Macaca mulatta: one gene and its partner. Each later gene encodes a partner of the first gene's protein in a complex. Links are inferred from orthologs where the notes say so. Each region holds a gene or a part of one and is shown on either strand. Other genes may lie near its edges.

Region 1 (3,816 bases):
GGTGAAAGGAGGGAAAGGGAAATATTTGCAGTAGCAGCAGTCTCTGTTCCCAAACTGTCCATACCTAAATTAGAATGTGTCCCTAATTTCAGTCTCATTTCCACCCCTACTTCAGGTAATCTTGTTACTCAAATCCTCCACCTCTCCTTCCACCAATGCCTCCTGCTGGGTGCCTAGCAGGTGGCAAGCACTAAATAGTGATGAGTAAGACCTCCTCATTGCCCCAGGAGTTCACAAGTAGCAGGAAAGCCACATCGGCTTCTCCATCCTAAAGTGAACTGAGTATATGAAATGTCTGTGCATTCCAGTCTTCTATGTAATTTACAGACTTTACATTATCATGGTTAATGGAAGAACTCTTCCACTTAAGAGGTCTGCATGACCATGATATTAATAGGACTCCTGCCAACAGTCCTAGTCAGGTTCCAACTGGATTAGGGACCTCTCTAATATTGCATCGAAAGCTTAAAAACAAATACAAACAGAAAGTTCTATGTGTATTTCAGGCAAATTCTTGGGTCCTCTGAAATCTGAGCTCCCCTTCAGTCCATGGTTGCTAGCCTCCCTATAGGATCTTCTGAACATCAAGAGCTAAAGGGCAAGCGGAAGAAAGAGCTTGTTTGTAGAAAGGTTCCAAGTGTCTGTTACAGCAATAAATATCTCTAGAAAAGCTTTGCAAGGGCTGAATTCCCAAAGGACTGGAGAGCAGGGGCAAAATTCCTGATCCTGAGTTCTCTTTTCCCAGAGTCCAAGAAGGAGAAAATTAGGTAATGGCATTAGGAAAGGAAGCAGCTAATTTAATCTCCAGGACATAGGAAAGAAGAGAAAAGAGCTGTGGGAATACGTTCACGATACAGAGACGTGTCTCTAGAGGATTATGTGAGAGGAAGCCCTTTCCTCACAGCTACATTGATGGCTTAAAGCTGGGAAGAGGGTGGAGAGAAGGAGAACGACTTAGCCAAATGTGGGGGTGCAGGAGAATCTCAAGTTGGAAGTCTTAATACACTTTGTCCTATAGAAATACGGTTTAAAACAGGTGTTTAAGTTCTATTATTGCTCTACTTTAGGAACAAGGTTGCCGGGTTAAGAATTAATTAAAAAACCTTGTGTTAATAATATTGTTTCTGCAAGAAAATTTAGTTTAATTGCCAAATAGTTTACTCATAAAATGAGCTTCTGGAATCACAACTTAGTCAAGAGTTAGATACTATGGTAGATCGGATAACTTTTAGTACATTCCCTCTTTTCTCTCCCCTCTCACCATAGGGGGAGCATTCTTTCCTCCATTCAAGTTGGCCTTAGGTATGGAACTTGCTTTGGCCAATGGAACATGGGCAGAGTGGCGGGTACTTCTTCCAAGTATGGACCTTCAGGGGTGTTGTATATTTCTGCTTGCCCTTTTGGAACATCCACCTTCTATCATGAGAAAAACATGCCCCAGGGAGCTGCTGCCTCTCTGGCATGGGCCCCAGAATGAGACACATGGAGAAGACCTGTGCTTCACCCATGGGCAGAAGCAGATATCAAAGGCTGTTGATTCAGGAGGTAAAGGATACACTCATTACTCATTGGGTTTCAGACATCAAGAACAGCCCAACAGCTACACTTTTCCACCTATTGTTCTGGCCTCCAGGTATAGAAAATTAAGTATATGGTCGAGTATTATGAGTCTCAAACAGAGCACAGAAGTCCTTATTTTCAGCGAGGTATTTTATATGTGCCTGGCACACTAAATACTTATTAAATAAATTAGCAACTAGAAGAAGTATTGCTATATAGTTCTTTTGGAAAAACATCTCCCCAAAGTTGTGGATATTTAACAAAAGGCACATTAAAATGACAAATTACTTAAAGTAGCATGAAACTGTAAGCAAGGAAACATAATATTTACTTCTAAATAAACATATGTCAAAGTGAATTGAGAGGCTTCTAAAGCTGCATTGAAATAAACATTCAAAGATGGCAGATTTAAAAAAATGTGGATCAGAAAGACATTCCAGAATCAAAAGCCACCAGCTGCTACAAGTGTGAAAATGAAACCTCTGGAGGGACTGTCGCCTCCTGCCCCACGTGGCTGTGGCACGTGATGCCGATAGCAGCTACTGAACTGATATTTGTGACTACCACCCAGTCTGGGTAGGGCAGGTGTCTCACTGGCACAGTGCAGACCAGTTTGACATCACAAAAACTTACCAGAAGTAGGTCTTTGCCTAGTTCATCGATATCTGTTACAAACTTCTCAATTGGTTGGGCAGATTTTGAATGAAAAGCCTGCCTGGGAAGGGCAACATCTCTAGGCCAGTCTTCTTCTCCTGGGAGTCCAATTACGCTACAAAAGAACCACACATAGACATGAACATTAGCTGCTATGCAGAAGCTGTTTTCTTATCAATTTCCAGAGAAAGGCAAAATCTAAGGGGGAGGCATGGGGGAGACAGTCCCAGGAGACCTTCACTTTATGACTGGCAGGGTCTCTGTTTATCTCTGTCCTACCGCAATATGGTGTCATGGGGTAGAGGGTAATCTCACAGAAGAATTGTAAAATTCACTGGGAGGAGATAAGAGATTGCTCTGGTAGCAGACACTAAATGTAAGGGGTGATGTAGAAATAGAAAATATATTGCCAGGCAGTAAGCCCTGACTTAGTGACAAAGCAGGACTTATTGTATTCAGAGGAGACCCATACTAGTATATACATTTCTTAATGTCCAAGAATGCTTTCTGTGTTTTGATCGAACGTCCCAGTATTGGCATGATTTTTATGATGCTCATCCAACATGGTTTATTAACATATCAATTTGGTTGCATTTTTGGTTAAAGAGTAATTCCCTAAATATTAAATATATACATTAGAATCAGAAGGAAAAATGACGCTAAAACGTTTGTTAGTCCTGCATTATTCAAACACGATTTTATAAAAGGAGGTCTGTGGTATTCCAAAGTGAGCAAACAGTAAATTAAAAGACTATTATTTATATTTCCCCTGAAAACCATTCTGGGATCAGAAATGTGGAAAGAACAGTAAGTGATAAAAAGCACAGGCTTTGGAAATAGGCAGGCTTGGGTTCAAATCCTGCACCTGCCACTTACTGGCAGGTAAGGACAAATTACTTAACATCTATGACCCTTAGTGTCTTTATGTATACAATGATAATAACTTACAGTTGTAATGAGGATCAGTTATACTTTATTTAAATTTATAGTAATATATAAATTTATAATTTAAAGTATATAGCACAGCACCTGATACACATTACACACAGTCAATATCAATCAATACATTGTCAATTATTATTATAGTTAGAAAATGTTGTTATTCATCCAAGATGCATAGGAAATACATCACTATCACACTTAAAATATGAACTGCTTATATCCTATTTATGTATAACTTAATATTCTTTAAAAATATTAATAGGTCAATGGACTTACATAACTTATATATTGTATAGACATTATTTATAGTTCACATATAGGTCATAAGTAGGTTTGAACAGAGAAAATCAGAGGATGCAGGGACTTCTTTCCCATACAGACTGTATAACTCTGAACTAAAAATAAAATCATAGTTTAGTGGACGGGTTATATAGCTATTCAAATACTGGACCAAATAATGTTTTTTTTTTTTGAGATGGAGTCTCGCTCTGCCGCCCAGGCTGGAGTGCAGTGGCACAATCTCGGCTCACTGCAAGCTCCACTTCCCGTGTTCACGCCATTCTCCTGCCTCAGCCTCCTGAGTAGCCGGGACTACAGGCGACCGCCACCACACCTGACTAATTTTTTGTGTTTTTAGTAGAGACGGGGTTTTACCGTGTT
Region 2 (4,487 bases), on another chromosome or scaffold:
ATATTGGTCAGGATTGTCTCGAACTCCTGACCTCAGGTGATCCTCCTGTCTCAGTCTCCCAGAATGCTGGGATTATAGGCGTGAGCCACCGCGTCCAGCCTTTCCTTTTATATAATAGTGATAATTCTATCCAAAGCTTTTTTTTTTTTTTTTTTTTTTTTTTTTTGAATCGGAGTCTCATTCTGTCACCCAGGCTGGAAGGCGGTGGCGCGATCTCGGCTCACGGCAACCTCTACCTCCTGGGTTCCAGCGATTCTCCTGCCTCAGCCTCCTGAGTAGCTGGAATTACACACGTGCGCCACCACGCCCGGCTAAGTTTTGTATTTTTAGTACAGACGGCCAAAGCTGGCCTCGAACTCCTGACCTCAGGTATCTGCCCGCCTCAACTTCCCAAAGTGCTGGGATTACAGGCGTGAACCACCGCGTCCGGCTCCAAAGCATTTTCTTTCTATGCCTCAAAACAAGATTGCAAGCCAATCCTCAAAACGGATAATTCAAGAGCTAACAGGTATTAGTTTAGGATGTGTGGCAGTGTTCTTAAGTCTTATATGTATTAATATACAACAATTCATTTAAACTCACAACACCCCTGTAAAGCAGGGGGTACTCATATTCCCTTCTCCCTTTATAACTAAGAAAAATGCAAAGTATTTTCAGTAGGAAAGAGAAATGTGAGGAGTGTGTAGGAGACAGGACAATGTGTAAAGCGGGTCTTTGGATCACTGTGCAACTCTGCCTCTAGAACACTGAGCACTTTTTCTGGTCTAGGAATTATGACTTTGAGAATGTAGTCCGTCCTTCCAATGACTCCATCTCCATTTTCCTATCTGCCTACAGGCAGAAATCTCCCCCGTATTAAATAAACCTCATCTTTTCAGAGTCTGCTGTTATACCAGGCAATGTACACGTCTGAGAAACCCTTGCCCCAGACAGCCATTTTACACGTAGGAGGGGAAGGGGTGGAGAAGGAGAGGGTAGGCCAACTCTCCAAAAGGAATCCTTTGAACTAGGATTTCTGAGTTAGTGAACCCCGCGCTCTCGAAAATCAAGGGTTGAGGGGGTAGGGGGACACTTTCTAGTCGTACAGGTGATTTCGATTCTCGGTGGGGCTCTCACAACTAGGAAGGAACAGTTTTGCTTTTTCTTATGATTAAAAGAAGAAGCTATACTTTCCCTATGACACCAAACACCCCGATTCAATTTGGCAGTTAGGAAGGTTGTACCGCGCAGGAAGGAAACGGGGCGGGGGGCGGGGGGATTTCTTTTTTTCTTTTTAACTGAGTGAACGCACTCGAACGCGCCTTTGCTGGCAGGCGGGGGAGCGCGGCTGGGAGCAGGGAGGCCGGAGGGCGGTGTTGGGGGCAGGTGAGGAGGAGGAGCCCAGTCCTCCTTCCTTGCCAACGCTGGCTCTGGCGGGGGCTGCTTCCGGCTGGTGCCCCCGGGGGAGGCCCACCCTGGGGCGACTTCAGGGGTGCCACATTCTCTACGTGCTCGGAGTTAATAGCACCTCCTCCAAGCACTCGCGAACGGCGCCCCCCTGCCTGGAAAGATACCGCGATCCCTCCAGAGGAGTTGAGGGACAGAGGCCGAGGGGGCTCTTCCGCCAGCACCGGAGGAACAAAGAGGAGGGGCTGGCTGGTCACCAGAGGGTGGGGCGGCCGCGTGCACTTGGCCGCTGCGGAGAGTGGGAGAGCAGGGAGCGAGCAGCCGGGAGCAGCATGGAGCCTTCGGCGGACTGGCTGGCCACGGCTGCGGCCCGGGGTCGGGTAGAGGAGGTGCGGGCGCTGCTCGAGGCGGGGGCGCTGCCCAACGCACCGAATAGTTACGGTCGGAGGCCGATCCAGGTGGGTGGAGGGTCTGCAGCGGGAGCAGGGGATGGCGGGCGACTCTGGAGGACGAAGTTTGCAGGGGAGTCGGAATCAGGTAGCGCTTTGAGTCTGGAAAAAAGGGCTTCCTGGGGAGTTTTCAGAAGGGGTTTGTAATCACAGACCTCCTGCTGGCGAAGCCCTGGGTGCTTGCGAAGCCAAGGAAGGAATGAGGAGGCACGCGCGTGCCGATCTCTCGAATGCTGTGAAGATCTGAAGGGGGGAACATATTTGTATTAGATGGAAGTATGCTCTATCAGATACAAAACTTACGAAGGTTTGAGATAAAACGGGAGTCTTAAAGAAATGTAAGATGTGCTGGGACTACTTAGCCCCCAATTCACAGATGCCTGGATGGAGTTTATCTTTCTTACTAGTAGGGATTATCAGTGGAAATCTGTGGTGTATGTTGGAATAAATATCGAATATAAATTTCTGATCGAAATTATTCAGAAGCTGCCGGGCGCAGTGCCTCACGCCTTATAATCCCATCACTTTGGGAGCTCAAGGAGCGGGGGGATCACCTAAGAGTTCGAGACCAGCCTGGCCAACAGGTGAAACCCCGCCTCTACTAAAAATACAAAACTTAGCCGGGGGGTGGTGGCAGGCGCCTGTAATCCCAGCTACTCGGGAGGTTGAGGCAGGAGAATCGCTTGAACCCGGGAGGCTGAGGTTGCAGTGAACAGCGAGAGGGAGCCACTTCACTCCAGCCTGGGTGACAGAGTGAGACTGTCGAAAGAAAGAAAGAGAAAGAGAGAGATAAAAAAAAAAAAAAAGCATTCAGAAGCAACTACATATTGTGTTTATTTTTAACTGAGTAGGGCAAATAAATACATGTTTGCTGTAGGAACTTAGGAAATAATGAGCTACATTCATGTGATCGTGCCAGAAGTAATATGTAGTCACCATTTTGGGAATATCTGCTAATATTTTTACTGTTTTGCTATCTTTAGCTTACTTGATAATAGTTTATTTTGTGATAGAGTTTTCAATTCCTCATTTTTGAACAGTGGTGTTTCTCCTCTCCCTACTCCGGTTTTGTGAGGGAGTTAGGGGATGATTTAAAAGTAATTAATGCATGGGTAACTTAGCATCTCTAAAATTTTGCCAACAGCTTGGACCCGGGAATTTGGCTTTGTAGTCCTAAAATATCTTAGAAGAGACCTTATTTGTTTAAAAACAAAAAGGAAAAAGAAAAGTGGATAGTTTTGACAATTTTTAATGGGGAAGGGAGAAGAACATGTAGAAAAGGGGAAGTGTTGTTGGCTTAGAATCCTAACTACACTGGTGTTTAATATAGGAACACTTATTTGTATAATATTTTTAAATGCTAAATTCATATCAATTTATTATCAAATGGGTTTAAGCATCCTACACATTTTAATTCAATGAATTCATTTTCTTTTTGCTTTGGATTTATATCATGATTTAAATATTTACATATGGGTTACTTTTTAGGTTTTTCATTCTATGAAATATAATAAAAACCTTTAAGGCTAGTTTTATGACCAAGACGAAGAGAACTTCAGTGAACACACGGAACAATAAATATGCTGCAACATTTTGTCTTTCTTTTTGTAGCTGCAATTTGGTTTGCTTATACTTTCTCTTTGTCTCTTTGAAAACTAAGTCAGTTTCACTTTCTCAGGACAGCATTTAATAACCATAATATAATTTAGTATAATTCCTTGATTTAGGCAAATTATGCAATTTGTGTTTAGTATGAAATGTACCTAAAAATAAGTAATTCCTCTTTAACACAACCATCCTCAAGCTAATATAACAAATAACAGTTATCCTAAAATAAATTGTTTATTTCCACCATGCAACACTCAAATTTTAAGGTTGCTATGACTGGAGACAGTATTTTAAAATTCCTCTCTGGAAATGGCTTTGTTTCCAAGATGATTTAGGAACCAAAAAGGTGACCATCTCTTGTTTAATGAACTCTCAAATCATAAACCTGGGAAGCCTTTTCGTTTCCTATTGCTGCTGTTACAAATTACCACAAATGTGTTAGCTAAAACAAACAAAATTATTATTTTACAGTACAGTTCTAGAGATCAGAAGTCAAAAATGGGTCCACTTTGGGAAACTCTAAGGGACAATCTGTTTCCTTGTCTTTTCCAGCTTCTAGTGACCATCAAATTCCTTGGCTCATATTCCCTGTATTTTCTCTGTGGCCTGTGCTTCCATTCTTTTATCTTCTCTCTGACTGTGACCCTCTAATAAAAACACTTGGGGTTCTATTGGGCCCACCCTGAAAATTCTGGATAATCTCCCTCAAGACCATTACTTAAATCACATCTGCAAAGCCTCTTTTGCTACATAAGTTAATAAATTAACAGTTTTTGAGGATCAGGACATAGACATTTGTGGGGGGGGGGACCTTATTCAACCTACCACAGGAAGGAATTTTAGGGCTAGTCTAGCATTCTTATTTTATACTTGAAGAAATTGAATTTTTGGAATTGGAGAGCATTATGCTAAATGAAATAAGCCAAACACAGAAAGACAAATATCACATGTTCTCACTTATCTGTGAAATATAAAACAAATACATTCTTAGCAGTAAAGAGTAGAATGGTGGTTGCTGGAGCTGGGGAGGGGGGCAGTGGGAGG

Evidence for each region.
Region 2: the proteins of CDK6 (region 1) and CDKN2A are in contact, whole or in part, in a crystal structure (PDB 1BI7), measured with the Homo sapiens proteins. The link is inferred for Macaca mulatta from reciprocal best matches to the Homo sapiens genes CDK6 and CDKN2A. Residues at the interface, in NP_001138778.1 of Homo sapiens: Glu14, Cys15, Val16, Ala17, Glu18, Ile19, Phe28, Lys29, Arg31, Leu33, Asn35, Gly36, Gly37, Arg38, Phe39, Arg44, His100, Asp102, Gln103, Asp104, Thr106, Thr107, Asp110, Lys111, Gln149, Thr154, Ser155, Leu166, Ala167, Arg168; in NP_000068.1 of Homo sapiens: Thr18, Ala21, Arg22, Gly23, Arg24, Glu27, Asn42, Tyr44, Arg46, Gln50, Val51, Met52, Met53, Met54, Gly55, Ser56, Arg58, Asp74, Ala76, Thr77, Thr79, Asp84, Arg87, Glu88, Gly89, Phe90, Asp92, Asp108, Trp110, His123.

What each region holds. Positions count from the first base shown.
Region 1 is NC_133408.1:126,759,844-126,763,659, reverse strand, and holds part of CDK6 (cyclin-dependent kinase 6), read right to left. Parts: intron 2,330-3,816; coding exon 2,194-2,329; intron 1-2,193. UniProt on the Homo sapiens protein: Serine/threonine-protein kinase involved in the control of the cell cycle and differentiation; promotes G1/S transition. Phosphorylates pRB/RB1 and NPM1.
Region 2 is NC_133420.1:77,239,115-77,243,601, forward strand, and holds the start of CDKN2A (cyclin-dependent kinase inhibitor 2A), read left to right. Parts: upstream 1-1,400; 5' UTR 1,401-1,718; coding exon 1,719-1,844; intron 1,845-4,487. UniProt on the Homo sapiens protein: Acts as a negative regulator of the proliferation of normal cells by interacting strongly with CDK4 and CDK6. This inhibits their ability to interact with cyclins D and to phosphorylate the retinoblastoma protein.